Linked DNA regions of Callithrix jacchus. The protein of the gene in region 1 purifies or fractionates together with the protein of each later gene. This does not show direct contact. Links are inferred from orthologs where the notes say so. Each region holds a gene or a part of one and is shown in the gene's direction. Other genes may lie near its edges.

Evidence for each region.
Region 2: the proteins of HNRNPH1 (region 1) and ILF2 fractionate together in Homo sapiens (co-fractionation; 3 studies listed by BioGRID and IntAct, with this or other methods). This does not show direct contact. The link is inferred for Callithrix jacchus from reciprocal best matches to the Homo sapiens genes HNRNPH1 and ILF2.
Region 3: the proteins of HNRNPH1 (region 1) and FUS purify together in Homo sapiens (affinity purification with mass spectrometry; 4 studies listed by BioGRID and IntAct, with this or other methods). This does not show direct contact. The link is inferred for Callithrix jacchus from reciprocal best matches to the Homo sapiens genes HNRNPH1 and FUS.
Region 4: the proteins of HNRNPH1 (region 1) and TARDBP purify together in Homo sapiens (affinity purification with western blotting; 3 studies listed by BioGRID and IntAct, with this or other methods). This does not show direct contact. The link is inferred for Callithrix jacchus from reciprocal best matches to the Homo sapiens genes HNRNPH1 and TARDBP.
Region 5: the proteins of HNRNPH1 (region 1) and HNRNPUL1 fractionate together in Homo sapiens (co-fractionation; 3 studies listed by BioGRID and IntAct, with this or other methods). This does not show direct contact. The link is inferred for Callithrix jacchus from reciprocal best matches to the Homo sapiens genes HNRNPH1 and HNRNPUL1.
Region 6: the proteins of HNRNPH1 (region 1) and HNRNPR fractionate together in Homo sapiens (co-fractionation; 3 studies listed by BioGRID and IntAct, with this or other methods). This does not show direct contact. The link is inferred for Callithrix jacchus from reciprocal best matches to the Homo sapiens genes HNRNPH1 and HNRNPR.
Region 7: the proteins of HNRNPH1 (region 1) and HNRNPA3 fractionate together in Homo sapiens (co-fractionation; 3 studies listed by BioGRID and IntAct, with this or other methods). This does not show direct contact. The link is inferred for Callithrix jacchus from reciprocal best matches to the Homo sapiens genes HNRNPH1 and HNRNPA3.

What each region holds. Positions count from the first base shown.
Region 1 is NC_133503.1:72,027,305-72,031,933, forward strand, and holds the start of HNRNPH1 (heterogeneous nuclear ribonucleoprotein H), read left to right. Parts: upstream 1-1,811; 5' UTR 1,812-1,898; exon of another isoform or gene 1,899-2,011; intron 2,012-2,649; exon of another isoform or gene 2,650-3,053; intron 3,054-3,175; 5' UTR 3,176-3,206; coding exon 3,207-3,303; intron 3,304-4,629. UniProt on the Homo sapiens protein: This protein is a component of the heterogeneous nuclear ribonucleoprotein (hnRNP) complexes which provide the substrate for the processing events that pre-mRNAs undergo before becoming functional, translatable mRNAs in the cytoplasm.
Region 2 is NC_133519.1:14,084,254-14,088,108, reverse strand, and holds part of ILF2 (interleukin enhancer-binding factor 2), read left to right. Parts: intron 1-101; coding exon 102-218; intron 219-1,383; coding exon 1,384-1,462; intron 1,463-1,698; coding exon 1,699-1,786; intron 1,787-2,834; coding exon 2,835-2,896; intron 2,897-2,980; coding exon 2,981-3,095; intron 3,096-3,311; coding exon 3,312-3,402; intron 3,403-3,551; coding exon 3,552-3,712; 3' UTR 3,713-3,855. UniProt on the Homo sapiens protein: Chromatin-interacting protein that forms a stable heterodimer with interleukin enhancer-binding factor 3/ILF3 and plays a role in several biological processes including transcription, innate immunity or cell growth.
Region 3 is NC_133513.1:30,693,696-30,698,050, forward strand, and holds the start of FUS (RNA-binding protein FUS), read left to right. Parts: upstream 1-1,389; 5' UTR 1,390-1,461; coding exon 1,462-1,474; intron 1,475-3,596; coding exon 3,597-3,621; intron 3,622-3,712; coding exon 3,713-3,867; intron 3,868-4,355. UniProt on the Homo sapiens protein: DNA/RNA-binding protein that plays a role in various cellular processes such as transcription regulation, RNA splicing, RNA transport, DNA repair and damage response. Binds to ssRNA containing the consensus sequence 5'-AGGUAA-3'.
Region 4 is NC_133508.1:48,886,168-48,890,601, forward strand, and holds the start of TARDBP (TAR DNA-binding protein 43), read left to right. Parts: upstream 1-1,525; 5' UTR 1,526-1,610; intron 1,611-2,574; 5' UTR 2,575-2,585; coding exon 2,586-2,823; intron 2,824-4,434. UniProt on the Homo sapiens protein: RNA-binding protein that is involved in various steps of RNA biogenesis and processing.
Region 5 is NC_133523.1:36,572,437-36,576,291, forward strand, and holds part of HNRNPUL1 (heterogeneous nuclear ribonucleoprotein U-like protein 1), read left to right. Parts: intron 1-2,008; coding exon 2,009-2,275; intron 2,276-3,855.
Region 6 is NC_133508.1:60,068,388-60,072,242, reverse strand, and holds part of HNRNPR (heterogeneous nuclear ribonucleoprotein R), read left to right. Parts: intron 1-797; coding exon 798-947; intron 948-3,443; coding exon 3,444-3,565; intron 3,566-3,693; coding exon 3,694-3,855. UniProt on the Homo sapiens protein: Component of ribonucleosomes, which are complexes of at least 20 other different heterogeneous nuclear ribonucleoproteins (hnRNP). hnRNP play an important role in processing of precursor mRNA in the nucleus.
Region 7 is NC_133507.1:52,156,580-52,160,434, reverse strand, and holds part of HNRNPA3 (heterogeneous nuclear ribonucleoprotein A3), read left to right. Parts: intron 1-8; coding exon 9-155; intron 156-236; coding exon 237-447; intron 448-750; coding exon 751-840; intron 841-922; coding exon 923-1,018; intron 1,019-1,106; coding exon 1,107-1,184; intron 1,185-1,903; coding exon 1,904-2,047; intron 2,048-2,887; coding exon 2,888-3,010; intron 3,011-3,124; coding exon 3,125-3,177; 3' UTR 3,178-3,192; intron 3,193-3,284; exon of another isoform or gene 3,285-3,855. UniProt on the Homo sapiens protein: Plays a role in cytoplasmic trafficking of RNA. Binds to the cis-acting response element, A2RE. May be involved in pre-mRNA splicing.

The sequences.
Region 1 (4,629 bases):
TGGGCAGGTCACTTGAGGCCAGGAGTTCCAGAACAGCTTGGCCAACATGGTGAAACCCCATCTGGACTAAAAACTTTTAAAAAGTAGCAAGGTGTGGTGGCAAACGTGTAATACTTCTACTTGGGAGGCTGAGGCGCGAGAATTGGTTGAACCTGGGAGGCAGAGGTTGCAGTGAGGCAAGATTGCACCACTGCACTCCAGCCTGGGTGATGACGGAGTGAGACTGTCTCAAAAACAAAACCAAACAAAAAAACCTTCTTTCATGACCAAACATGGTGGCTCTCACCTGTAATCCTAGTACGTTTCTTTGGGAGGCTGAGGTGGGATGATTCCTTGAGCCCAAGAGTTCAAGACCAGCCTGGGCAACAATGTAAGATGCCATTGCTACAAAAAAATAAAAAAGTTATCTGAGCAAGGTGGCACATGCCTGTGGTCTACCTACTCAGGAGGTTGGGGCAGGAGGATCATTTGAACCCAGGAGGTAGAGGTTGTGGTGAGCCATGTTTGCACTACTGCACTCCAGTCTGGGTGACGGAGTGAGGCCATGTCTCAGAAAAAAAAAAAAAGGAAAATAAAAATAAAAATTAAAAAACCTTTTTTACGTAAGTTGGACAATTTATGTAAAAGAGAATTGGCTATAAATGTATGAAATTTATTCTACCTCACTAGTATTTTTTTTTTTTTTGAGATGGAGTTTCATTCTTGTTGCCCAGGCTGGAGTGCAATGGCGTGACCTCAGCTCTCTGCAACCTCTGCCTCCTGGGTTTAAGCAATTCTCCTGCCTCAGCCTCCAAAGTAGCTGGGATTACATGCAAGCGCCACCATGCCTGGCTAATTTTTGTTTTGTTTTCTTTGAGTTGGAGTCTTGCTTTGTTGCCCAGGCTGGAGGGCAGTGGTGTGATCTCTGCTCACCGCTTCCTCTGCTTCCTGGGTTCAGGCAATTCTCCTGCCTAGCCCTCCTGAGTAGCTGGGATTACAGGCACATGCCACCACACCTGGCTGATTTTTGTTATCTTTAGTAGAGGTAGGGTTTCACCATGTTGGCCGGGATGGTCTCCAACTCCTGACCTCAAGTGATTCACCTGCCTCAGCCTCCCAAAGTGCTGGGATTACGGGTCTGAGCCACTGCACCTGGTGGGAGTCTCTCTTTCTGATGACCTCAGCCACAGTGCCTTCTGAAATGGTACCACAGGTATGTGCTTCTAGTTCTGTTTGCAGCAGAGTGCATGGCATGTACCATCATTCCCTCTGCCTGCTCTCTATTTGCGTCTCCCTCACATCCAGCAAGACTTTTCCTTTATACAGGACTTGCAGTTAACACCCTTGCCAAGGCCGAAGTGGCCTTTGAAGATCAGGCCCTCCTTAGCTCTGGGCTCCTGTGTTTCTTTGGATGTCCTCTCTACTTTCCTCAAACCTGTCAAAACTGGATTCGGCCTCTGTGGCACTGGGTTTGGAAACATGCTTTGCCCGAATCTTCCGAGGGTGGCACTCAGGCCTGCACTACCTGAGTTAGCCCTGCGGCAGGGTCCAACACTACCTTATGGTTAATTTATTGCCTGTGTCCACGAGAGCTGGGGTGAAGAGGGCAGCCAGATTAGACAGAGGGAGGCCTGGGAAGCTCTGGAGTCTTCGGTTTTGGGCAGTGCTGCTAGAAACCACGAACATTACTCATCTCGCAGCCTATGTGCACACCGGGTGACCCAGGGGCCTCGAATGCAGGGTCTCCACCTGGGGAATCACGCACTGTTACCAATTCAGCGCTGGGATGATTCAGCCGGAGCCTATCCCAGCACAGAGGCCGGCACGCACCCGTAGAGGAGATCGCGCTCGCGAGGCAGTACCCGGCGACCCGTCCTCGTGCCAGGGCCCCAGGGCGTTCCAGGCCCGCCGACCCGGAGGTGGGTCAAGAGGTACAAAGGATGCAAGTTCGTTAGGCAAAAGCGGGGTACAGGCGCGAGCCACAGGCACGGGAACCCCGCGCCGACCAGCGCCCTAGGCCCGACGACGGCAGGTAAGGGGAAGTGGAGGCACACACGGCTGGGGCGTGCCCCAGGCACCATCCGGGAGGCTTCGGGTGCTGGACGTCCGCAGCCCTATAGTTCCCAAGACGCTCGGCAATCTGCAGCTGATCAGCTCCGGCCAGCTTTGGGATAAAGGGGAGACAGGCGGCGCGGGGAGTGGGAACACCCGAAGGCCGCGCTCCTCCTTTCAGGTCGGCCAGGAGCGCCCCGGTAAGACTGGGGGTAAGGGGTAGAAAGACGCCCACCTCATCACAACCCAGAGGTCGGGACTCCTATACAGCCCCATAGGGAACTGGCGGCGCCATTCCCCTCCCCCACGTTGGCGGGTAACGCTAGAGAACGGTTTCAAGGAAGACGCATGCGCAAGAAACAATTATAAACCGCTGAGGCTCCAAGTTCAATATTCGCGATCAAGCGCAGGCGCAATAAAAAGCCCGGCGGGTTAATGGGTGGGGGTGCTGAGTCCAAAACGCAGGCGTGTAATAATCTACCAACCGGAGGTAGGCTGATTCTTGAAGTTACGCATGCGTCAGAGCTCTTTGTGACGCAAGGGGGCGGGGCGAGCAGCTGGCTGCGCGTGCGCAGAGCTCGCACAAAGGGCCTTATTTAGGTTGCGCAAGCGCCTGTTGGCCATTTCGTCTTACCCACGCTGGAGTTGGGTGTCAGGGTGAGTTGCGGTCGGTCCTCCCTAGCTGTCCAGCGACCCCCGCTGTGGGGTCCGTTTTTGCTAGGATTGTTTTCCTCCCGACCTCTGGGAGGGCTGCGGGGATCTTGGCTAGCTGCGGGCAGCCATCGAGAACCGAAAGTTGTTCGCTGAATCCCAGCACCGCCGCCGAGGCCTGCAGGCCGCGCGGACTCTATTGTGTGAGAAGTCGGAGGAGGCGGAGCGGAAGCGGCCGCCGCCATTTCCTTGTCTCCACGCTGGCTCTCGACCCCCGCCCCCAGGGTTCGGAGCGCCGACAGCTGCTCCCCAGAGCAGCTTTGGGGGTCCGCTCGCTGGCCGAGGAAGTGTTGGGTGTTGGAGTCGCCGGGGTGGGTGCATCCGCCCGGTTTTTGCTCCGTAGGGCGGGTGGCGCGGGCCCGGGGGGGTACATCGGGGGCGGAGCACAGCTTAATGGGCGCTCTCAGGTCTGGTCCTCCTCCCCGCCTTGCAGTTTGTTTCGACGTCGGACCGCGTAAGAGACAATGATGTTGGGCACCGAAGGTGGAGAGGGATTCGTGGTGAAGGTCCGGGGGTTGCCCTGGTCTTGCTCGGCCGATGAAGTGCAGAGGTTTTTTTCTGGTGAGTTACCACTAGAACGCGGGAGTTCGAGTTCGAGGCCTGGGCGGGCGGGCTGGCGGGCGGGCTGGCGGGCAGCCGGGCTGGGGCGGGCCGGGCGGGACTCGGGGCGCCCCCTGGCGTGGCGCGGATGACTGCAGTTCCCGCTGTGCTGTTCGCGCCCCGCCGACCGCTGTTACGCAATGGAAATTTCGAAAGCCCCGCCGCCTTCCTGTTTCTTGGAGTGCTGCCGATCTGGTAGACTTGTTTTCTTTACCTGCCTTTGAACACCAGCTCTTCTTTTTTTTTCCGTTTTCGGCTCACTGCGATTCGGGTTGAAGCGATTCTCCTTGCCGCAGGCTCCGGAATAGGTGGGATTACAGGCGTGTGTCACTATGCCTGGCTAACTTACTGTACTCTTTTTCTTTTTTAAGACGGGGTTTCAACATGTTGGTTGGGCTGGTCTTGAATTCCCGATCTCAGGTGATCCGCCCGCCTTGGCCTCCAAAGTGCGTGGATTACAGGCGTGAACCACCACGCCCGGCCATCTTTTTGTATTTTTAGTAGAGACGGGGGTTTCACCATATTGGACAGGCCGGTCTCGAACTCCTGACCTGAAATGATCGGCTGCCTCGGCCTCCCAGAAGTGCTTGGGATTACAGGCGTGAGCCACTGCTCCCTGTCTGGGTATCTTTTGGAAAGGATAAATTGGCATAGATGGGATTTCTTCTTGAATCTTGAGAAAAATCTCCCGAGTGATTAGACAAATTGTAATGTTTTGGAATATCTTGAAGTGTAACCTCTTGTTTACAGTTTCGGTGTTTCCTTGAAAATGAGCATTCTGCTTCGGAAAGTTAAAGTGTCACGTCTTAATTTCGGTTTTCCTAATCAAGATTTGGTAATTGAGATGTGTTTGCTAGTCTAGTTCTTGATATGGCTCTCTATACAGTTGAAGACGCTGAAGCCCAGGGAAGTTTTCTTGCCTGTGTAAATTTTTTTCCAGTACACAGTTTTCCTGAGTATTTTCTATCAGAATGTTCTTGTTCGCAGCATTAGACTGGGGAAAAGAAATTAGTTTAGACTGATGAAATTCTATTTGGATGAAATTGACAGCTTTTGGTAAGACGTTTGTAGTGTTGACTTACTATCTGAATTTAGCGTTGGTAATGGAAAACGACCTGTAAAACAAGAACCAAGTACACTGGAAGCCACCTTGCAGGGGGCAACACTGGGTTTGGCTGCAGCTGTGCAGCTTGGAGCATTTTAGCTTGGTAACACTGATTCCCTTTCAGGTTAGTATTGGGCCTGCAATTTGGATTTGAATGAGAAACCGTAATGTCGCTGCTGGTA
Region 2 (3,855 bases), on another chromosome or scaffold:
TTGCTGTTTTAAGAAATTGCTGTTCCCTCCCTACCCTGGATTTAACTTTGGTCATCTAATGGAAATGTGAGTTATATTTTTTGTTTATTCTGTTCTTTCAGTTTTAACTATGCTGACCAATGAAACTGGCTTTGAAATCAGTTCTTCTGATGCTACAGTGAAGATTCTCATTACAACAGTGCCACCCAATCTTCGAAAACTGGACCCAGAACTCCATTGTTAGTTCTTTTTTTTCTGTTGCTGGAAAATTTAGGGGATATTAAAAACATGGTATGGTTGCTGTTTAGTTTACTTAGCTTGTTGCTATTCCACATGCAGCTCTCTGGGAATTGAAGAACTCAAGTTTACTCTAAACTTTGCTCTCTCCCTCTGTAATTTGGAAATAGTTTTTTATCCAAATTTGCTAGTGGAATATTCAGATGGGGTGATCAAGAAAATAGTTGGAGGATTTAAAAAGGACTGAGAAGCCAGGCACAGTGGCTCACGCCTGTAATCCCAGCACTTTGGGAGGCCCAGGCGGATGGAACCACGAGGTCAAGAGATCGAGACCATCCTGGTCAACATGGTGAAACCCCGTCTCTACTAAAAATACAAAAAATTAGCTGGGCATGGTGGCGCGTGCCTGTAATCACACCCGCCTGGGCCTCCCAAAGTGCTGGGATTACAGGCATGAGCCACTGTGCCTGGCTTCTCAGTCCTTTTTACATCCTCCAACTATTTTACTCAGAAGGCTGAGGCAGGAGAATTGCCTGAACCCAGGAGGCGGAGGTTGCGGTGAGCTGAGAGATGGTTCCATTGCACTCCAGCCTGGGTAACGAGCGAAACTCCATCTCAAAAAAAAAAAAAGGACTGAGAAAATATTTATGGAGGAGGAGGATAGGCTTTTGGAGAAAATCATGTATCTTGCATGGTTCTAGTGATTTTTAGGCATGTGATTTGCTGATATGAGGAACATGGGATGACTTAAAGAACTGAAAAGTTGGCTGTGTGCAGTGGTTTACGCTTGTAATCCCAGTGCTCTGGGAGGCTGAGCTGGGTGGATCACCTGAGGTCAGGAGTTCGAGAGCAGCCAGTCCAACATGGTGAAATCCCGTCTCTACTAAAATAAAAAAAAATTTAGCTGGCATGATGGTGGGTGCCTGTAATTCCAGCTACTCAGGAAGCTGAGGCAGGAGAATCGTTTGAACCCAGAAGGCGGAGGTTGCAGTGAGCGGAGATTGCGACACTGTACTCCAGCCTGGATGACGAGACTACATCCCAAAAAAATGACAAGAATTGCAGAGTTATCCTGTCCTCCTTCCAAGTTTTTAGACTGTAGCAGTAGTACTGAGTAGCTTATTTAATGAAAATGTTTCATCCTGGCCTATCATGCTTGTCTTATAGTGGATATCAAGGTATTGCAGAGTGCCTTAGCAGCCATCCGACATGCCCGCTGGTTTGAGGAAAATGCTTCTCAGTCCACGTGAGTCTCTCCCTGACCATTTGGATTAAGATAACCTTTCTAACAGCAGTGAATAGCAGGATACCCCAGACTGTTTTGTTTGGATTTTGATTTTTACCTTAAGTAAGCAAATTAAGATTGAGAGAAAGCAGAGAATGTATAGTTCTGGAAACAGTGTAGTCAGCTTCAACTCTACATTAGGCATGGAAATACATGATCGTATTGCTTTTAACCTTTGGGTCACTCTTAACTTTCAGAGTTAAAGTTCTCATCAGACTACTGAAAGACTTGAGGATTCGTTTTCCTGGCTTTGAGCCCCTAACACCCTGGATCCTTGACCTACTAGTAAGTAAAGATGGGCAACTGGAGTTCCTTGATAATCTATATTTACTAGCAGTAGAAGTAACTCTGGAATTTACCAGAATCTGAAATTTGGTAAAGCTTAAAATAGATTTTTTTTTTTTTTAATTTTAATTTTTTGAGGTGGAGTTTCGCTCATTACCCAGGCTGGAGTACAATGGTGCAATCTCGGCTCACTGCAACCTCCGCCTCCTGGGTTCAGGCAATTCTCCTGCCTCAGCCTTCTGAGTAGCTGGGATTACAGGCACGTGCCACCATGCCCAGCTAATTTTTTTTTTTTTTTTTTTTTGTATTTTTAGTAGAGATGGGGTTTCACCACGTTGACCAGGATGGTTTCGATATCTTGACCTTGTGATCCATCCGCCTCGGCCTCCCAAAGTGCTGGGATTACAGGTGTGAATCACCGCGCCCGGCTAAAATAAATTTTATTGGTAGACAAGTAATCCAATAAAAATTCAAAATTATATGACTCAGAGAAACTTGTTTTTTAAAAAGAAAGAAAAAGTTCAAAGTTTATTTTTTTGTTATATTCAATTAAATGAGTAGTTACTGAGTTAGTGTTCTTTTTCTTCTCATGACTGCTACCATTTCACCATGGTAGTAGAGAGAAATGAGTGAGCAGCCATTTCAGAATTGCTTCTGAACATGAAAATTTTAGCTAGACTTAGGCATTAATGACCAGTTTTCCTTGTGACAATTTAAGGTTTTAGTTTGATGCCTGTAATCCCACCACTTTGGGAGGCTGACGCCAGAGAATCACTTGAAACAAGGAGTTTGAGACCAGCCTGGGCAAAATAGCGAGACTCCGTCTCTATAAGAAAAAAAAAAGATAAGCCAGTTGTAGTGGCTTGCACTCAGCAGGCTGAGGTGGGAGGATTGCTTGAGCCCAGGAGTTTGAGGTTACAGTGAGCTATGATTGTGCCACTGCACTCCAGCCTGGGGGACAAAGTGAGGCCCTATCTTTAAAAAATAAAGTTCTAGTTGCCAGAATTGCCATTTTGGTGGCACACCTACTGGATTTATTATTTTCCAGGGTCATTATGCTGTGATGAACAACCCCACCAGACAGCCTTTGGCCCTAAACGTTGCATACAGGTACAGCATGCTGCTGTGGGTTTAGGGTTGGTTGTAAGATGTTTTGTGTATTCCTTTAATACCTCATACCTCCTTGTGTTCTAGGCGCTGCTTGCAGATTCTGGCTGCGGGACTGTTCCTGCCAGGTTCAGTGGGTATCACTGACCCCTGTGAGAGTGGCAACTTCAGAGTACACACAGTCATGACCCTAGAACAGCAGGTATTGGGACAGATGAACTGGGTTGTTTTGCCTCACTCTTTAATACTCCTGGTCAGAGGCAAAGTGGAATATGATCTTTAGGGGTCAGGAGTTTGGGAATTCCGAAAGACGATGGGATTTTAAAAATTGTCTTAATCTTTATTTCACAAGGATATTAGTCAAATAAGGCCCTTGGATTTTCCTTGCTAACTTACTCTCACTTTTGCTCTACTTTAGGACATGGTCTGCTATACAGCTCAGACTCTCGTCCGAATCCTCTCACATGGTGGCTTTAGGAAGATCCTTGGCCAGGAGGGTGATGCCAGCTGTGAGTGACCATTGTGGGTCAGGGATTTTGTATTATAATCTGCTCTACAAAGAAGCTGTACACTACTTAAATGCCTTAGTATTTCCACAGTGTAAATAATGACTTTTATGCTGGGCTACTTGTCTAACTCACCTTTTTCTCTTTTCTAGATCTTGCTTCTGAAATATCTACCTGGGATGGAGTGATAGTAACACCTTCCGAAAAGGCTTATGAGAAGCCACCAGAGAAGAAGGAAGGAGAGGAAGAAGAGGAGAATACAGAAGAACCACCTCAAGGAGAGGAAGAAGAAAGCATGGAAACTCAGGAGTGACCTTCCCTTCCCTTGACTGGAGCCTAAGCTCGATGCTACTGGGCTTTACATGGTGGTAGACATTTCCGAGGGATAGGGAAGATAATAGGAAGGCAAGTAAACTCCAGAGAAGTGTTACTCCACTGGGTTTTGATATTGGCCTA
Region 3 (4,355 bases), on another chromosome or scaffold:
CCATCCTGGCCAACATGGTGAAACCCCGTCTCTACTAAAAAATACAAAAATTAGCTGGGCGTGGTGGCGCGTGCCTGTAGTATCAGCTACTAGGGAGGCTGAGGCAGGAGAATTGCTTGAACCCAGGTGGCAGAGATTGCAGCAAGCCGAGATTGCACCACTGTACTCCAGCCTGGCGCCTGGCAACAGAGCAAGACTCGTCTCAGAAAAAAAAAAAAGGAATTAACGTCCTTTGTCTTGTTTTGTTCAAGTTTCAAATTGCCTTCTCCAGGCAATGCTGATGAAAGTTCAAGTTGCACGTTACTTTGAAGTTTTCTTTTTGCTTTTGCTTTCACAGGAAGTGAAAGGGCGACCAAACACTAGCATTCAGGTCACCAAAAAGAGGAGTGTTTTGCAGTCACGAGACCTGAATTCGAATCACGACTCCTCTTAGCTGCCCTGTAATCAGGTACAATTACTTGGGTCTTTGAATCTCACTTTTCTTATCCAGAAAACGGAGATATCGTTACTTCCTTCCTAAGTCTGTGGTGAGAAATAAATTATCTGTGCATTTTGAAACCACCTAAGCCTTGTGCACATTTTATTTCTGGGATCGCCACTGGTTCCTTGGTAGGGTTTCAGAAAAATATAAAGGAGGTCCCTGAGAAAAGGCTGCGGATCCTTCATCTGAGGTCAACCCTCTCAGGTCCCAAAGATGGCCTGGGCGGTCCCGCCCGGCGGCTCCCGCGAGCCCAGTGCTGGACCAGCCCGGCACCCAGGGGTCCAGGCCAAAATGACCTGCTGTCTTTCAGGTCAAACGTCACAATGCGCCAACCCCAGAAAGGCCGAAAGGCCAGGCAACCCCGAAAGACGACTAAGTCAACACCAGGGCCCAAGGGAGAGGGAGGCTCAGTGTGTGCTGCTGGAGGAGGGAGGCTGGGGTCGGGAGGACGAGGCGCCCCACACAGTGGCAAGGCGGCGGAGGGCAGGAACTCGTCATCCTGGGTGAAAGCGGGGCCCAGCAAAGGGGACCGGCCACAGTAGTCACGATTCCACCCCGCGACTCCCGACTGTGACTCCAGTTCGATCCCTAACTGTCCGGGCCCCTCGCCCCGCCCCCAGCGGGCACTCAGGCCGTACCACTGTGCCTTCATGGGGGTGGACTTAGAGCATGGGCTAATCCTGTAGAGGAGAGAGAGGTTCTTTCTCCAGAAAGTATGATTATGTATAGTATTCACATGTTTTTAGTTAACTTATTTCCCTTCTACCTGCTCGGATCCTCTACGTACCCTAGGAAGTGGGGGGAGTGCATTCCTGCCTCCCCCATGCGCTTCCGCATTTGGTGTGCGCCTGCGCGGTGCGTAGGCGGCAGGGCAGACTTAAGCTTCGACGCAGGAGGCGGGGCTGCTCAGTCCTCGAGGCGTCGGTGTTGTGTAGAGTTGGAATTTCCTTGCTTGCTTGCCTGTGCGCGCGTGCGCGGACATGGCATCAAACGGTAGGTAAGGGCGCGAGGCGGCGGCGGCGGCGCTCCGAGCCGAGTCCTCCTAGTTGGGCTTTTCATTTTCTGTGGGACCGGGGCGGCGATCGCGTGTGGGATTCTCTCGCATCCCTGTGGCGGGAAGCCGCGGAGAGGGGTGACTGGGGGAGGTTGGTGTCGCCATTTTGTTTCGCTCCTCTGGCGCCTAGCGCGCTGGGCGGGAAGTCTTCTCTTCCCAGTCCGTTTGTTTGAGGTGGGCGTGGGGAGGGACGCTTCTTGGTGGTTTGAAGCGTGAGGTGAGGGTGGAAACGCCTGGTCTCCGTGGCCTCGCCTACCCCCACTCCCGGCCCGCGCTCGGGCCCGCTTTGTCGCAGTGCTGCATCCGGGCACTAGCGGCGCGCACGCGCTCTGCGGGCCCCTCCCCCCCTCGTGGCGCTGATACCCCTTCCCCGTCTCGTGTTGGCTCAGCTTTTTGTCGCGAGACCCTTCGCGGAGGACTCGGCGGCGCGCGTCCGGTGTACGCCTTGTTCCTCTGGGGTCCTTCGGGAAGGGGCGGGACTGCTCCGTTCCCGCCTCGGTTGCCACGCGGCGGGGGCGGAGGCTCGGGATCGCGGCCGCGCTCCCGCTTAACGGTTTGGAGGTGGTGGTCGGGACCAACGTATTGTATCGGTGACCCGGCTGGAGAGTTTTTCCCGCCTAATTTTTTTTTTTAGACAGGGTCTCTCTCTTGCCCAGGCTGGAGTGCAGTGGTACGATCTCGGTTCACACTGCAACCTCCTCCTGGGTTCAAGTGATTCTTCTGCCTCAGCTTCCTGAGTAGCTGGCAGGCGTCTGGCTAATTTTTGAATTTTGTGTGTGTGTGTGTGTGTGGAGACGGGGTTTCACCATGTTGATCAGGCTGATTTCGAACGCCTGACCTCAGGTGATCCGCCCTCCTCGACCTCCCAAAGTGCTGAGATTACAGCCGTGAGCCACCGCGTCCGGCCTAAATTTCTTGCTTCTGAGGTGGGGAAGGAGAATAATCTCCATCGGAGGCCACTCCCTCTCCTGGGCCTTTCCCTTTTCCTGCGGGGGAAGCGCCGCGTTTCCCGTACTAGGTGGATGAGTTGATCTTGTTCGTGTATCTTCAGTGGGGCGTTTCAGAACCGCTTTTGCTGCTTTTTGGTCCCCCGGAGCGGGAAGGCAGGTTAGGTGAGAAAACGAACCATCTGGAGCGACAGGACTGGGGAATCGAGTATCAGTCGACTTTCGCCTCCTAAAGCGAGCACTTGGATGATCTTTTTGATTCCGAGGGCTTTGGATCCTGTGACTTCACTAAAAAGCCCACTTAATCTCCGGGGTTGGTCACAATGAAGAATGGCCTTTTTTGAGACATTCTCGTTCTGTGGGTCTGGGTTGAGAGAACGGAGGCCACAGTCTGAACACTGCTTGAATTCAAACCTGTGCCGGTTGGTAGTTCTGCGACTTCGGGCAAGTTAGTCTATTTTGACTCCTGGGGATAAGGCCTTTTTTATAGAATGGATGGAAGTACTGTGCAGTGTTTTAGGGCAACAGTCACTGACATGAATTGGGCTTGCAGAAAGTGGCTGTCCACCGAGACCTTGGTTTTCCCAATGGTTAAGGCTTTTGGGACTCTGTAGAAACTTGCATTTTCTTCTGTTTTCTTTTATTATGAGAACACTTGGCTGATATGCCAGCTTGCTCTTGTCTCATGGGGGAATTGTATGACCTTTTTTGCAACATGGTCCAATTTTTTTCTTTTGAGAGAGTCTCGCCCTGTTGCCCAGGCTGGAGTGCAATGGCGTGATCTCAGCTCCCTGCAACCTCTGCCTCCCAGGTTCATATGCGTCTCCTGCTTCAGCTTCCTCAGTCTGGGATTACAGACGTCCGCCACCATGCTTGGCTAATTTTTTGTATTTTTACGGATTTCACCATGTTGGTTAGGCTGGTCTTGAACTCCTCACCTCAAGTGATCTACCCACCTCGGCCTCCTAAAGTGCTGGAATTACAGGTGTGAACAACCTTGCCTGGCCAACGTGGTCCTGTTTACCCATCAGTGCTTGAGTTAAGGAATTTAGCTTTAATTCAACTCTTTCAGAGTGTTGGCTGAAGATAATGTGATTGTATTTTTCTTTTGCAGATTATACTCAACAAGCAACCCAAAGGTGAGTGCTATTTTTGCGTTTCCAAAGTTTGTAGAGGCCGACGGTGGTCAAGGCCTCTTTTTCTGATCACGCTGGTTTTACTTTTTTCCAGCTATGGGGCCTACCCCACCCAGCCGGGACAGGGCTATTCCCAGCAGAGCAGTCAGCCCTATGGACAGCAGAGTTACAGCGGTTACGGCCAGTCCACAGATACTTCAGGCTATGGCCAGGGCAGCTATGGTTCTTCTTACGGCCAGACCCAGAACAGTGAGTCTCTCTCAGCGAGTCATCTTTTCCTCTACTTTCTGAATGTTGTTTTTTTTCCTTTTTGAGACGAAGTCTCGCTGTGTCACCCAGGCTGGAGTGCAGCGGCGTGGTTTCTGCTCACTGCAACTTCTGCCTTCCTGGTTGAGGTGATTCTCGTTGAGCCCACCCTCCTGAGTAGCTGGGATTACAGGCGTGTGCTACCATACCTGGCTAATTTTTTTTTTTTTTTTGGTATCTTTAGTAAAGATAGGGTTTTGCCATGCTGGCCAGGCTGGTCTCTAACACTTGACGTCATGATCCACCTGCCTCAGCCTCCCAAAGTGATGGGATTACAGGTGTGAGCCACCGCATCCGGCTCTGAATACTGCTTTTGTTAAACCTGAGCAGCATGGAAATGTTGAAACTGTTCCATATTTCCTTTCCCTGAACCACTGTATAATTCTCAAAACTCTTGGGAGTCTGAGTTCTTTACAGGGCATTGTGGCAAA
Region 4 (4,434 bases), on another chromosome or scaffold:
CGGCACAGTGGTTCATGCCTGTAATCCCAGCACTTTGGGAGGCCAAGGTGGGCAAATCACAAGGTCAGGAGTTTGAGACCATCCTGGCCAACATGGTGAAACACTGTGTCTACCAAAAATACAAAAATTAGCTGGACGTATCTCAGCTACTTGGGAGGCTGAGGCTGGAGAATCACAGGAACCCAGGAGGCAAAGTTTGCAGTGAGCCGAGATAACAAAGCGCTACTTTGTGTCACGTATCTTCTGAGTACTCACATACTTAACAGCTGCACTGCAGCCCAGACAACAGAGTCTCAAAACGAACAAACAAAACAAAGCCAGGCATGGTGTCTTTGCATTCCTATAATCCCAGCTATCCTTCCAACCTGGGAGGTGGAGGTTGCAGTGAGCTGCAGATCGCTCTAGTGAGACTCCATCTCAATCAATCAATCAAGTGTGCCTTAAAATAGATGAAATACTGTATTATTATATTATTATTAGAGGGCTGGAGCCAGAACATGTTAGCATTTTGTGCCTCGAGATTCAAACCGTAGGTCTACCATTTACTCCTTAGGTGACTTTTGTTTTGTTTTGTTTTAAGAGATGAGATTTTACCATATTGGCCAGGAGGTCTTGATCTCTTGACCTTGTGATCCGCCCGCCTCGGCCTACCAAAATGCTGGGATTACAGGCAGCAGCCACTGAGCCTGGCCAACTTTTTTTTTGGCGGGGGGACAGGGTCTCACTCTTTTGCCCAGATCGGAGTCAAGTGGGGCGATATTGGCTCACCGCAACCTCTGCCTACCTGGTTCAAGCAATTCTCCTGTCTCAGCTTCCCGAGTAGCTGGGATTACAGGCGCACGCTACTATCACCCTATCCTTGGGTGACTTTAAGCAAGATACTTGATCGCTCTGTGCCTCAGTTTCCTCACTCGCAGAATGAATATCAATAGTTCCTGCCGCACAAAACTGTTGGGGCTATTAAGTATGTGAGTACTCAGAAGATACGTGACACAAAGTAGCGCTTTGATTGCTATTATTAGAACAAAGTTATTGTTTCCAGGTTTGGAGGTGGGCTAGCGGAGGGAGGAGAGGACGCAACCGGCAGCCTTTCAGAAAAGGAGTCCGGGTCTTACCCTGCTTCCCAAGTCTATTTGGCCCGGGATCCCGAGCCCCGCCCCCTCCAGGCCCCGCCCCACCCTTTTTGGCCGAGCCCCTGCGCTACTCTCGCGCGCTTTGAAAGTGCGCGAGCTCCGAACGAGACCCGGGCTGGCGGTTGGTCGGCCGAAACCATCTGCTACGTTATGTGGGGGGAGGTCAGCGCCTACACAGCCACATTTTTTTTCGATTTTCAGCTTTTCAGGCCTAGTTCCTGGTCTTATTTTAGCTCTCGAGCTTCTCTGTAGGCTCGAATTTCGAGAAGGCAGCCCGAGTCCCTGGGAAGAGGGTCATCGTGGCTCTCCTCGGCGCCCTCCCCCTCTTGACAAGCGCTCGGTGGGAGAGGACGCCGGCGGGCAGAGGGAGGAGGCGGCTCTAGCGCCATTTTGTGGGAGCGAAGCGGTCGCTGGGCTGCGCTTTGGTTCGTCGCTGCCTCGCTGTCCCTGTCGGGCTTCCCAGCAGCGGCCTAGCGGGTGAGTCGCGGAGCCTTCTCAATGAGGACGCCCTGGGTGTCTCGGCTCCCGCATTGGGGCAGCCCGAGGCGGACGCAGCGGCTTCGGCCCCTGCCCAGGGAAATGAGCCGTGAGGCCGGGCCTCGTCCTGCCCGAGCGGACTCGCTCGGGAGCGTCGTTAGGTCCTGCCGCAGGAAGGCCGCAGGCGCCGAAAGCGGGACCCTGCCCGCGCTGCCGCGCAGCCTGAGGCGAAGGTTTGCCTGGTCCTGAATAGTGCCGGCGCCTTCGGTACTTTGCAGTCCGGGGACGCTGCCAGCTCGGGCCTTGGTGCTCCTGCGCCCCACCCCGGGCCGCGCTAAGAAACTCCTCCCAAGGCTGGCACGCGCGGGTTTCTGGGAGGCGAAGGCCGGCACCGCCAGGATCTGTCGCCGCCGGCCTTGCGGCTCGGGCTTGTAGAGCCCCCGGAAAGCCCCAAAATGAGGAATGGAGAGGACTCTTCTGCTGTTTTTTACACCTGGTTCACTGCTTATATTCAGTCTTCAGGTTCAGCTGATGCATCACTTAATTGGGAAAATCGACCTTAACCCATCATGCCCATGCCTCAGCCTGTTAGGCTCCTCTCCTGACTTCAGGATTACATAACGACTTCCGCGACTGTCATAAAATAGCTACTGTTATTCTCCTGCATACCCCAGCTTGTAACCAGCAAACCACGTTGTACTCAGCAGTTACAGTTGCAATACCTGACATATCATAAGCCCTCAGGGAAAGTTTGTTGATTGAATGAACTGGCGAGGCATCAGATTTTGATAGGAAATCACTACCCTTACCTTCCCCTCGTCATTTTTCAGGGATACTAGTGCATATACGAATCCAGAGAAGAATTTTTCTGGAAGTTAGAACACTAACGTGGTGTAGGTATTAGCATTAGAAGGAAACCATTACTCTGGCGTGAATGTTCATTCATTTCTCTTTTCCTTTTAAGAAAAGTAAAAGATGTCTGAATATATTCGGGTAACCGAAGATGAGAACGATGAACCCATTGAAATACCATCGGAAGATGATGGGACCGTGCTGCTGTCCACGGTTACAGCCCAGTTTCCAGGGGCCTGTGGGCTTCGCTACAGGAATCCAGTGTCTCAATGTATGAGAGGTGTCCGGCTGGTGGAAGGAATTCTGCATGCCCCCGATGCTGGCTGGGGAAATCTGGTGTATGTTGTCAACTATCCCAAAGGTTTGTTACCATTTGGTTTTGTAATCGTGCTGAAGCGTAGTCAGGTGTGTGTCTCATCCATGGGTCATGGCCTCTTTGTGGCGGCAGGTCTCCTGTAACTTAAGTATTTTCTTGAACTTCACAATTAGATAAGTTTGGAAAACCATGAGTCTAAATTTGTGGAAACTGGGGATCATATATCATTTTAAAAGAGAGAACGATGTATTTAAAAAATATTTTAATAAGCTTTGCCCAGTTTCTGCCACGTAAGGAGTTACTAAGAATGCTTGGGACTTGTATCAGTGTTGTAAGTAGATTCTTCTACAGTGCTCCAGTATTTGGGTTTGTTCATTGTCCTTTTGGTCTTAACATCATTCATTCAGGAAATCTGACTTCATTTTTTTCCTTAAATAAACAGCAGTTGCAGTAGCCAAATCTTGAATTAGTGCAGTTCCAATTACAATTTTGAGTTTGTTCATTGTCCTTTTGGTCTTAACATCATTCATTCAGGAAACCTGACTTCATTTTTTTCCTTAAATAAACAGCAGTTGCAGTAGCCAAATCTTGAATTAGTGCAGTTCCAATTACAATTTTGAGGTTCTAGTCTTACCCTTTTTGCTTCATTTTATCACTGATGTTCTAAATCTGAGAAAAGAAAGCATGATATTTTAAAAATGTGCCAAGGAAATAGCTAATTTCAGCAGTATGAATGTGTGCTATTAGTTGATCTGTGTTGCTTTTATTATAACTTGATATTGCAACAAAGTCCATCAAATTTGGTCAGTATGCAAGATGTTAATTTACATGTCTAGAAAAATTTTAGGGCCTGGTGCAGTAGCTCACACCTGTAATCCCAGCACTTTGGGAGGCTGAAGTGGGTGTATCAGCCAAGGTAAGAAGTTTGAGACCAGCCTGGCCAACATGGTGAAACCTGGTCTCTATTAAAAACACAAAAAATTAGCCAGGCTTGGTGGTGGGTGCCTGTAATCCCAGCTACTCCAGAGGCTGAGGCAGGAGAATCGCTTGAACCTGGGAGGCCGAGGTTGAAGTGAGCCGAGATTGCACCATTGTACTCCAGCCTGGGCAACAAGAGTGAAACTCCATTGCGAAACAAAAGAAAAAAAAAACAAATTAGCCAGGCACCTATAGTCCCAGCTACTCTGGAGGCTGAGGCAGGAGAATTGCTTGAACCTGGAAGGTGGAGGTTAGTGACCTGAGATCATGCCATTGCACTCCATCCTGGGTAACAGAGCAAGACTCTGTCTCAAAAAAAACACAAAGAAAAAAGAAAAATTTTAATAATGTTAACTCAGGGTTTTTAGTATGCTGTTTCTTGAGCAATTGGGTATAGAAATACTTACCCAAATTTAAAATGTCAGGCTGGGTGCACTGCCTCCCAGCACTTTGGGAGGCTGAGGCAGGCAGATCATCTGAGGTCAGAAGTTCAAGACCAGCCTGACCAACATGGTAAAACCCCGTCTCTATTAAAAATACAAAAATTAGCCATGTGTGGTAGTTCACACCTATAGTCTCAGTTACTTGGGAGGCTTAGGCAAAAGAATTGCTTGAACCCAGAAGGTGGAGGTTACAGTGAGCTCTTGCCACTGCTCTCCAGCCTGGGCAGCAGAGCGA
Region 5 (3,855 bases), on another chromosome or scaffold:
CCTCCTCCTGGGTTCAGGCAATTCTCCTGCCTCAGCCTCCCGAGTAGCTGGGATTACAGGCACGTGCCACCATGCCCAGCTAATTTTTTGTATTTTTAGTAGAGACGGGTTTTCACAATGTTGACCAGGATGGTCTTGACCTCTTGACCTCGTGATCCACCTGCCTCGGCCTCCCAAAGTGCTGGGATTACAGCCTTGAGCCACTGCGCCTGGCTTCAGTCACTTCTTAAAGGGCAATTCTCAAGGTGGTCTCCTGAATAAAGAACTTACACTTTTATATCAGAAACTGAACCTTGTATTTTGCTTCAGTCTGCTATCTAATCTCAAGTTTTGAGCCTTTTTGTCTCTGAGATAGGTATTTAGAAAAATATTTAACAAACGTTTTAAAAATATAAATTTTAAAAAGGAAAAAAACACTAAGCAAAAAAGAGCTTTACATATCCTGCAGACAAAGCGATGTTTCCAAAATACAGTTTTGAGCAGTCTGCTCCCCTATTCAAAATGAGTCAGACACTCTGCTCTGCCACCAGCATCAAGTCCACATTCCTGCAGAGTCCCTCAAATGCTGAGGTAGGCCATGTCCCCTCCCCATCACTTCAGTCCTAGCTTCTAACTTCTAGCACAGTACCTGGCATCTTGCAGTGATAGCTCATGTTCCTGTGTACTCACTGTGTATTAAATGTACTATCCCATTTAGCACTTAGAATAAACATAGGCAGTATAAAATAGTATTACCCACCTCTTTTGATAAAGAAACAAGGTGAAATAACTTAACCAAGGCCACAAGTTAGTAAATGGTAGAACTGAAGCTGTCCATCCACCTTCTAAAATAGGATCTTTAATTACTCACTTTAGCAATTCAGTAGTAGTTGTTACAGAATAAATGAATGTGGTCCTTGCATGGCTTTTCAGCTGTTCCTGAATTACTTGCCCCTCATCTGTTATGCCCCTGCCAACCTGACCTTATGTTCTGCGTCACTGCTAGGCTTTTATACACACAACTGAGAAACCATCTCAGAAACTTGCTTCTAGGTAGATCATCTTACTGAATTATGACAGTGTCCTTGTCTCATTCTCCACTGGTCCTTAAGCTCCATTGGTCCCAGATCACCCAGGCATGTATATCAGAAAGAAAGAACTCAGGAAACATGTTCAACAAGCTGAGCTCAGCTCGAAAAGGCCCTGCTGGGGCTTTCCCTCATCTGTTATGTTCATAGAATGCCCTTTGGGGTTTCTTTTGTTTGTTTTTGAAGAGATGGGGCCTCTCTCTGTTACCCAGGCTGTACTTGAACTCCTGGCCTCAAGTGATCCTTCTGCCTCAGCCTCTCAAAGTGATGAGATTATAGGCGTTAGCCACTACACCCTGCTTCTCATCAGTTTTCAGGACAGGACAGGATCACCTTTTCCTTCGTCTTCATCTCAGTCTAGGCACAAGACTCAAATGCTTGGAGCTTCTTAAAATTACCTGCTTCAAGCTGGGTGCAGTAGCTGGAGCCTGTAATTCCAACATTTTGGTAGGACAAGGTGGGAAGATCACATGAGTCCAGGAGTTCAGTATCAGCCTGGGCAACATAACAAGACCCTGTCTATACAAAAAAAATTTAAAAATTAGCCAGGTGTTGTGGAACATGCCTGTAGTCCCAGTTACTCAGGAGACTGAGGTCTGAAGATTGCTTGAACCTGGGAGTTTATGGTTGGAGTGAGCCCTAGCCATGTCACTGTACTCAGCCTGGGGGACAGAGTGAGACCCTGTGTCAAAAAAAAAAAATCTCTTGCTTACCTGCTTCACATTCACCAATTTTGGGGTCTTAGGCAAGGAGGGCTTTGGGCTGGACGTTCTCTGAGATGTTCACTGATGCTGCCCAGTTTACCTGTATGCTGGGGAAGGATGCAATTAAATCTGGAAAGCTGTCCATATTCTACTCCCTGCATCTGTTCTCACCCACATGTGACTCCCAGTGCCTACAGCGAGAGTTGGCAATCATATTCCTTTGGCTTTTTCTCCTAGGACTTTGAATGTGGAAATGACGTGGAACTTTCCTTTACCAAGAATGGAAAGTGGATGGGCATTGCCTTCCGAATCCAAAAGGAAGCCTTGGGGGGTCAGGCCCTCTATCCTCATGTCCTGGTGAAGAATTGCGCAGTGGAGTTCAACTTCGGACAGAGGGCAGAGCCCTACTGTTCTGTCCTCCCAGGGTTTACCTTCATCCAGCACCTTCCCCTTAGTGAGCGGATTCGGGGCACCGTTGGACCAAAGAGCAAGGCAGAATGTGAGGTGAGTGGAGCCAGAATGTATTGGTGGCCACCTTGCTGCCAAGACAGAGGGGAGACACACATAGACTTGCTGCGTGAGTAGCCTTGGGGCAAGTGGCCACTTTGTCTCAGCTCCTCAGAGTTACACTCAGAGCTGAAAAGTTGCTCTGAGTGTGAAGTGAGGGGTGTTGGTGTGACCTAGGTTGAAGTCAGAGAGGCTAAGTTAGTACACCTAAATCTCAGAAACATTCCATCTTCTTAAGTGAGGCCAGAATATGGGAAAAGGAGGCTTTTCTTCCAGCAGAAAAGGACACTAGGTGCTTCTTGGGGAGTGCACTCTGCCACCAAGTGTTCTTTTTTTTCTTTAGAGACAGGGTCTCGCTCTGTCACCCAGGCTGGAGTGCAGTGGTGCGATCATGGCTTACTGCAGCCTTGACCTCCCAGGCTCAAGTGATCCTCCCACCTCAGCTTCTCGAGTAGCTGGGACCACAGGTACATGCCACCATGCCTGGCTAACTTTTTTAGCCACTGAGCCTGGCCCTCCGAGTGTACTTGAAGGAGGCTGAGTAAGTTCCACCTCTCACCCAGAGCTGTCATAAAAGATAAACGGCCTTTGGGACTCTTTGATTCTCAGAGCTATGCTCGTGTCTTTTTTCTTAAAACAATATTTTTCTTGTATGTGTAAGTTATTTACACTTGTTCTAGAAAATTAAGAAGTAAAAAAAAAAATTTAATTCTCCTAATGCCATCATCTACAAATAAGTTTGCTTGCAGAGGTTCGGAGGTCATCTGTTCTTTTTAATGTGCTAAGTGCCTGTTTCATGCTCACAAACTTTCATCATTGAGATTTTATGGTATGAGTGTTATGATACCCTGCCCTTTTCACTTCACATTATTTTGCGAGCTTTTTCCCGTCGCATGAAAACCTCTCTTTGAACATCATTTTTTTCTTTTTTAAAAATCCTTCAAGGAATGAACATCATTCTTAATGGCCTCAAAAACTAGCCATTCCCCTTTTGTTAGGCATTTAAGATGCATCTGTTTACCAAATTCTAAATGTACTGATTAGATACAATTCATGTCCTTGTGTGTACAGCTCTGTTCCTATTTCATACTTCAAGAAAGTTGTATCACTTCTCGTACCCACTCCATGGGCCAGTCCCAGTACACAGCCTTCCCTGGGCTATTGTCGGGGGGCCACATAATCCTGTAAATGGGCTGGATTTGGTGGCAAGCGCCTGTAATTCCAGCACTTTGGGAGGCCAAGGAGGGAGAAGGATCCGTTGAGTCTTAAGAGTTTGAGACCAGCCTGGGCAACATAAGGAGACCTCCATTTCTACCAAACAAACAAAAAACATTAGCCAGATATGATGTCTTGTGCCTGCAGTTCTAGCTGCTCTGGAGGCTGATGTAGGAGGATTGCTTGAGCCTGGGAGTTCAAGGCTGCAGTGAGCCATGTTTGGGCCATTATACTCCAGCCCGGGCAATAGAGTGAGACCCTGTCTCAAAAAAACAAAATTCTATCAATGCTAATGATGACAGCACTTGGTGTTTTTTTGTTTGTTTGTTTTTGTTTTTACAAAGTCCTGGGATTACAGGCAT
Region 6 (3,855 bases), on another chromosome or scaffold:
TCTGATATAAAAGAGAGATTAGCTGTTCATGATACATGTTGCAAATATTTCTTCCATATTTATTGTCTTTGCCTGTGGTATTTTTTGCCATATGGAAGTCATTTATTTTTAGTAGTTGAGTATATCACTCTTATGTATCCTGGATTTTAAGTCATATGGTCATCTCCACTCCAGTGATATATAAAGAAATCATCCTTATTCTGATACTTTCTTAGTCCTCCCTCCACCCGTTTATCATTTAAATTTTCAATCTGTTGGGAGTTTATGCTGGTTTATAGTGTGAAGTGTGGACCATCTTTTATCTTTTTTTTTTCTGATTAACAGTACCTGATTTAGTGATTTAAGGATTATGTTTGTTTATATTCAGTAGGGCCAGTCTCTAAATTTTACTTTTTTTTCCCCCTGGTTATTCTTGCTTATTTATTTTTTCATATGAACTTTTAAAAGTTACTTGGTTTTAGAGGGAAGAAAGAAAAGCTTATTTTGAAGTGGACTTGGGGACCATGTCAAATTTGTTAATTAACTTGAAATAATAATTATATGTTGGTTTCTTGAAGGTTCTACTCAGTGTTAGGTGCTTTAATGACAACATAGGAGAAGGCAGTAACCAATAGTTTTTATAAATTGATGACTGCTATTAGTATAATTTTCCTAGCAGTTTCTTATACTACCTGTAACAGCACTTTTAGCACTTAATGTTTTAGAGGGGAAAAGCCTATGCTTTGAAGACAGGAAGAAACACTTTTCAGGTAGAATTAAGTAGCCAATTACAGTTCCGTTTATTTGTTGCTTACTAGGTAAAAGTTTTGTTTGTGAGAAATTTGGCTACTACAGTCACAGAAGAAATATTGGAAAAGTCATTTTCTGAATTTGGAAAACTTGAAAGAGTGAAGAAGTTGAAAGATTATGCATTTGTTCATTTTGAAGACAGAGGAGCAGCCGTTAAGGTAGAAATTTTGGAATTTTGGTTCTTGATATTTGAATTTTGTTTTCAAAAGTTGCTAAACACATAAAATAACTTTAAAAACAAATAAAATTGGTTGTTAGCTTTTGCTGAACTCTGGAACTTTCTATTTAATCTCTAAAGTGGTAGTATTATGACAGATAAGACTTCATATTTCAAAGCCAGATTATTACTGAGTTGGTGATTTTAGGCAAGCTATTTTTAATCTCTGTATTGTTTTGTAAGATTTGATAGCATGATGCCTTGGAAGTATTACAAGGCATAAAAATTAGCTGCTGTAAACACTAAATAGGTAGTGAATGTATTATAACTACTTAGTTTACCTCAGTTTGTGTACCTATGAAGGAAACTGAATGGTGCACATAACTCTCACAGTATACAGTGTTTGATTGGGTAGATACATTGTGATGGTATGATTAGTTTTACTTTAATTATTTTAGAGTTAAAATAACATTGGCTATGTTTTACTGATTTCAGTAATTGTTAGAGTTAGCTCTTGTGTATAATAGTCTTTGATGACAATGAAGTGTGAAAAATGTATTTTCATATACTATCTGGAACACAAAACCTGCTCTGCTTTCTATTGACAATGGACCATATTTTTTTTTTTTTTTTTTTTTTTTTTTGTGGAGTCTTGCTCTATCACCCAGGCTGGAGTGCAATGGCATGATCTTGGCTCACTGCAACCTCTGCCTACCGGGTTCAAGTGATTCTCCTGCTTTAGCCTTCTGAGTAGCTGGAATTACAGGCACATGCCACCATGCCCAGCTAATTTTTGGATTTTTAGTAGAGACAGGGTTTCACTGTGTTGGTCAGGCTGGTCTTGAACTCCTGACCTCATGATCTGCCCACCTAAGCCTCCCAAAATGCTGGGATTACAGGCTTGAGCCACTGTGCTCCGCAGTTTAGATCCATCTTTAATGGGTGAAAATTTCAGTTTCTTTTTCTTGTTCATCTGTCCTTCCTTGAAGGGATGGGAAGGAAGACAAAACATTACTAAGATCTTTTTTATGTTATTAGGAAGATAGATCCAGAATGCTCAGTGACACAGGCTTGGTTCTTTCTCTGCATATTTGGTCGACAGGGTACTGCACCTCTAATTTGGGCATTTTTTTTGTTTTGTTTTTTGCCCAGGCTACTGCATTTTAAACAGGCTTTATAGAATCTCTGACTAGTTTAGAATTAATTGGCTTGCTCATTTATGGTAGCTAATTAATGAATGGTATTGTTAATAAAATTCATAACTTGTCCAAGATCATAAACTCAGTAATAACCTGGCTTTGAAATATGGAGTCTTACCTGTTATACTGTTACACTCTTAACTGTTAATGTGTGGCTTCTGAAATTTCCACTGGTATAGAATGCAGATGACTGATAATTTATGCTTTCCAAATATTCCTCCTGTCTCGATTGTTTTAGGATGGTTTGCCAAAGAAGCCTATGAAATTACAAAATATCTAGTCCAGGAACTGGGAAGTCACTAGGATGGTCAGGGCAGACAATAGATGTTTCATTTTTTGATTTATGCCAGGAAGCTTTTGTAAAGTTGTTGAGTTGCTTTAACGGAAGAAATGTAAAGCTGAGGTGGTAAAAGGGAAAATTGAAGTCTTCAGTTTTTTTTCTAGATACTTATAAATCACTGATAGTTCTTTATAAATAGAACATTTTTAGTATGTGCGCCCAGAGTGGGGAAAGGTAGAGGGAAACAAAAAATAAATTACGAGGAGGTGACATTTTCTTACTATCTGAACCTTTTGATGAATGGCAGAGGTTGTTAGGTGGAACAGCATGAACAAAGGGCAAGAACGTGGAATGTTTGATTACTGCTTTCTGCGTAATTGCTTGAGTCTTCATTACTTCATTAGTCCAGGCCTTTTCTGGCTCTCTACTTTTAACTGTTCAGGCAGAGTACATTTTGGGTTAAGCATTGTAGGGGAACTTGGGCTTTTTGTGTTGGTATCTCGTTGAATTTTAAAGATAATCTCACTCAGTAACCTCATTTGTGCTTCAGATCCTTGAAATTTTTATATAAGAACAGTGTAAGACCTGTATGTTGAATGCCACACGTTTATTTTTAAATTAATCCTGAAAAGTTAATCTTTGTCTGGTTTGCATTAATACTGGCGTTTTTCCCTGGTATGGATTTGCTTCTTTCTTTAGTATGGCTTATCTTTTAAGGAGTTGGTTATTTGGAATTAAGGAGAAACAATAGATGGCAACTATTTTACCTTTTAAAATATAATATCAGGAGGTTGGTTTTGTTCTTGATGTAATTTACATATAAAAAGATTAGGTCAAGGGAAACGTTTTTTCTGTGTGTGTGTGCGCGTGTGCGCGTTTACCTTTCTGGCTAGATTTACCTTTTGCCATTTAAAATAATTGTGAAGTAAATTGTTTATTAAGTATATTAATGACATGTGTATGTTATGTTTTATTATAAAACATTGTAAAGTAAATTAATTTTTCTAATTTTATATAGGCAATGGATGAAATGAATGGCAAAGAAATAGAAGGGGAAGAAATTGAAATAGTCTTAGCCAAGCCACCAGACAAGAAAAGGAAAGAGCGTCAAGCTGCTAGACAGGCCTCCAGAAGCACTGCGTGAGTCTACATTTTAGTATTTATCTCTTTGGATAAGGAATAACAATAATGGAGATCAGATTAATAAAATCAGGGGTCTTGAAGCAAACTAATTTGTTTTTTCTTCTCTCCCTTCCCTCCTTTGCTAGGTATGAAGATTATTACTACCACCCTCCTCCTCGAATGCCACCTCCAATTAGAGGTCGGGGTCGTGGTGGGGGGAGAGGTGGATATGGCTACCCTCCAGATTACTATGGCTATGAAGATTACTATGATGATTACTATGGTTATGATTATCACGACTATCGTGG
Region 7 (3,855 bases), on another chromosome or scaffold:
TTTTTTAGGTAATGAGAGATCCCCAAACCAAACGTTCCAGGGGCTTTGGTTTTGTGACTTATTCTTGTGTTGAAGAGGTGGATGCAGCAATGTGTGCTCGACCACACAAGGTTGATGGGCGTGTAGTGGAACCAAAGAGAGCTGTTTCTAGAGAGGTATTTTAATAATATGTTGTAAAATATGTGAAATTGTTGTGAAAGTTTATGTCTTGACTTAATACATGACTTGATTTGTAGGATTCTGTAAAGCCTGGTGCCCATCTAACAGTGAAGAAAATTTTTGTTGGTGGTATTAAAGAAGATACGGAAGAGTATAATTTGAGAGACTACTTTGAAAAGTATGGCAAGATTGAAACCATAGAAGTTATGGAAGACAGGCAGAGTGGAAAAAAGAGAGGATTTGCTTTTGTAACTTTCGATGATCATGATACAGTTGATAAAATTGTTGGTAAGTAGCAATTTATGGGAACTTAAATGAGAAAAAAGTGGTTTCTCTGTTTTGAACTAAATTTGCCAAATTGCTTGTAATTTTCTGTTGCATGTAACAGCCTTTATAGTGTATGGTCAATAACTCTGTAATCAGTATCCAGGTAAAGGAATAAACATTAACATCTCAGAATGCTCCTTCATTCCCAGAGTCACTACCTGATTATGTCTTAATGGGTTACATAATGACAGAGGGTATCATATATATGCGCTTTTCCAAACACAAAATAACTTTTTGTTTTGTTTGATTAAAAAAAAAATGTAGTTCAGAAATACCACACTATTAATGGGCATAATTGTGAAGTGAAAAAGGCCCTTTCTAAACAAGAGATGCAGTCTGCTGGATCACAGAGAGGTGAGTAGTATCATACACATGTACACAAAAGATTTTAGTGGTGGCTGTAAGATTCTTAAAATCTCCCTTGCCTATGTTAAAGGTCGTGGAGGTGGATCTGGCAATTTTATGGGTCGCGGAGGAAACTTTGGAGGTGGTGGAGGTAATTTTGGCCGTGGTGGAAACTTTGGTGGAAGAGGTAGGATGTTTATCTTCTAAGTACATATGTACCTAACGTTTTGGTAAGTTAAATATATGATTTTAATTCATATCTTGTTTTTCCTCAGGAGGTTATGGTGGTGGAGGTGGTGGCAGCAGAGGTAGTTATGGAGGAGGTGATGGTGGATATAATGGATTTGGTGATGGTAGGTGGTTTATTTTAATAACTTTCTTTACCTTATGGAAAATTAAGTATTCTACCTTTCTAATTTTAATTAAAACTTGAATGACTTAATGGTTAAGACGTATTTCCAAACTAATGCCATAGAAGAGTAGAGACTCTTTTTCCCCTGGAGATTTAACATTAACTGGTCTTTTTCAGAGAGTACTAGGAGTTGAGCTAGAATTGAAGTCTGGGGCTGTATTTTTCTTAGTGCAGATTGATAAAATGAAAACTGAAGCATTTATTTTCATTCTTACTAGCTCTAGATACTTGCTATTCTATTATTTTTTGGTATTACCAGGTTTCAGAGTGTTAACTCATTGGCTTATTTGCCAGTGGCTTAAATGTAATATAAAACCAGAATTGAGTAATGCTAGCTATTCAGGAGGCTGGAGCAGAAGGATCACTTGAGGTGAGGATTTTGAGACCAGTCTGAGCAACATCAGGAGACCATGTTGCTAGAAAAAATAGGGGAATTTGGTGGCACATGCCCATAGTATAGCTACTCGGGCGGCTGACGTGGGAGAGTGGCATGAGCCCAGGAGTTCAAGGCTGCATTGTTGTGGTCATGCCACTATACTCGAGACTGGGCAACAGACCAAGATCTGGTTTCTTAAACATACAATCACCAGAATTGAGTAACTTCACTCTTTACACATTTATGTTTTTGTGTGCTCTTATTTTTTGTTGTTTTTTTTTTAGGTGGCAACTATGGCGGTGGTCCTGGTTATAGTAGTAGAGGGGGTTATGGTGGTGGTGGACCAGGATATGGAAACCAAGGTGGTGGATATGGTGGCGGTGGTGGAGGATATGATGGTTACAACGAAGGAGGAAATTTTGGTGGTGGTAAGCATTCACTTTTTTCATTTAAATGTGAACTATTCAGTGTTGCTAACAGTTCCCATGACATATATTTGACAAGTGTTAAAAGTTAGCAGTTGGTAAAATTGTGTGTTCTGTAATATTAGAAAATAATAAAATGGTGGGTAATTCAAATTTTCTTGACTTTGCTGATTGTTTACTAAAATACACTCAACTCTTAGTTGAGAAGTTAAAAGTGGTCATTTGCCAGTATGTAATAATACATGTAAAAGATAGGGAGTTTATATATTGCCAGAATTTTACCTTGACTCTTAGGTACTTTTAAACTGAACTTTTAAGTACTTTTAAATGGACAAATGGGAGTAAATTGTTTGAATACTGAGACAAGTTGAAGTGAGCAGGTTGCCATCTAGGTGTAAGAGAAAAAGTACTTTGTGTCAATACGTCACAGGTATGTTGCAGGCTTTAATGTAGGTCATTACTCCAGGATACTGTTAAGATCCTTACGAGTGTCCTGTTTTGTTGGACCTAATTAACATGTCAGTGACAGATGAGCGAAGGTTTAACAAGTTAGAATGCCTTCACATTGTTTTAAATGTTATACTGCAGCAGCATCATAGTGAGTGGAACACTGACAATTTCAATGGTGTTAATGGTAGAAAGAACATGTGCCTAGAGAATACCATCTAATACAAACAAAATGTTGATGGTCTTTCAATATGCTGACATCAGTTATTCCAAGTGGTGCTACCAAAGTGATGTGTGTAAGCATGCTACCATAATTGTGAAACAATAATAGTTACATCAAAAGGGGAAAATGATTATTGTGTGGGTAAACCACACATAAACCCTTTCTGATTTCAGGTAACTATGGTGGTGGTGGGAACTATAATGATTTTGGAAATTATAGTGGACAACAGCAATCAAATTATGGACCCATGAAAGGGGGCAGTTTTGGTGGAAGAAGCTCGGGCAGTCCCTATGGTGGTAAGTACTTCTTAAATCATTCTTTAAGAGTCTTTAATTTAAAAAAAATGCATACTTCTTTTAAGATATTATGTATATTTTTAGTGGTTATGGATCTATTATATATATTTTTAGGTGGTTATGGATCTGGTGGTGGAAGTGGTGGATATGGTAGCAGAAGGTTCTAAAAGCAGCAGAAAAGGGTAGGTATCTTTAAATTTTTGTCATGATGATAAAGAATATGTGGAACTGTTCACTGAGTGTAATAATTTTTTTATCCTGTATTATTCAACAGGCTACAGTTCTTAGCAGGAGAGAGAGCGAGGAGTTGTCAGGAAAGCTGCAGGTTACTTTGAGACAGTCGTCCCAAATGCATTAGAGGAACTGTAAAAATCTGCCACAGAAGGAGCGATGATCCATAGTCAGAAAAGTTACTGCAGCTTAAACAGGAAACCCTTCTTGTTCAGGACTGTCATAGCCACAGTTTGCAAAAAGTGCAGCTATTGATTAATGCAATGTAGTGTCAATTAGATGTACATTCCTGAGGTCTTTTATCTGTTGTAGCTTTGTCTTTTTCTTTTTCTTTTCATTACATCAGGTATATTGCCCTGTAAATTGTGGTAGTGGTACCAGGAATAAAAAATTAAGGAATTTTTAACTTTTCAATATTTGTGTAGTTCAGTTTTTCTACATTTTAGTACAGAAACTTTAACAAAATGCAGTTTTGAAGGTGTTTCCTTGTGAGTTAACAAGTAAAGAAGATCATTGTTAATTACTATTTTGTATGAATTTTGCTAAAGTTAACTGTAAAGAAACACCTGCTGACTTGCAGTTTAAGGGGAATCTATTCTCCCCATTTCCAAACC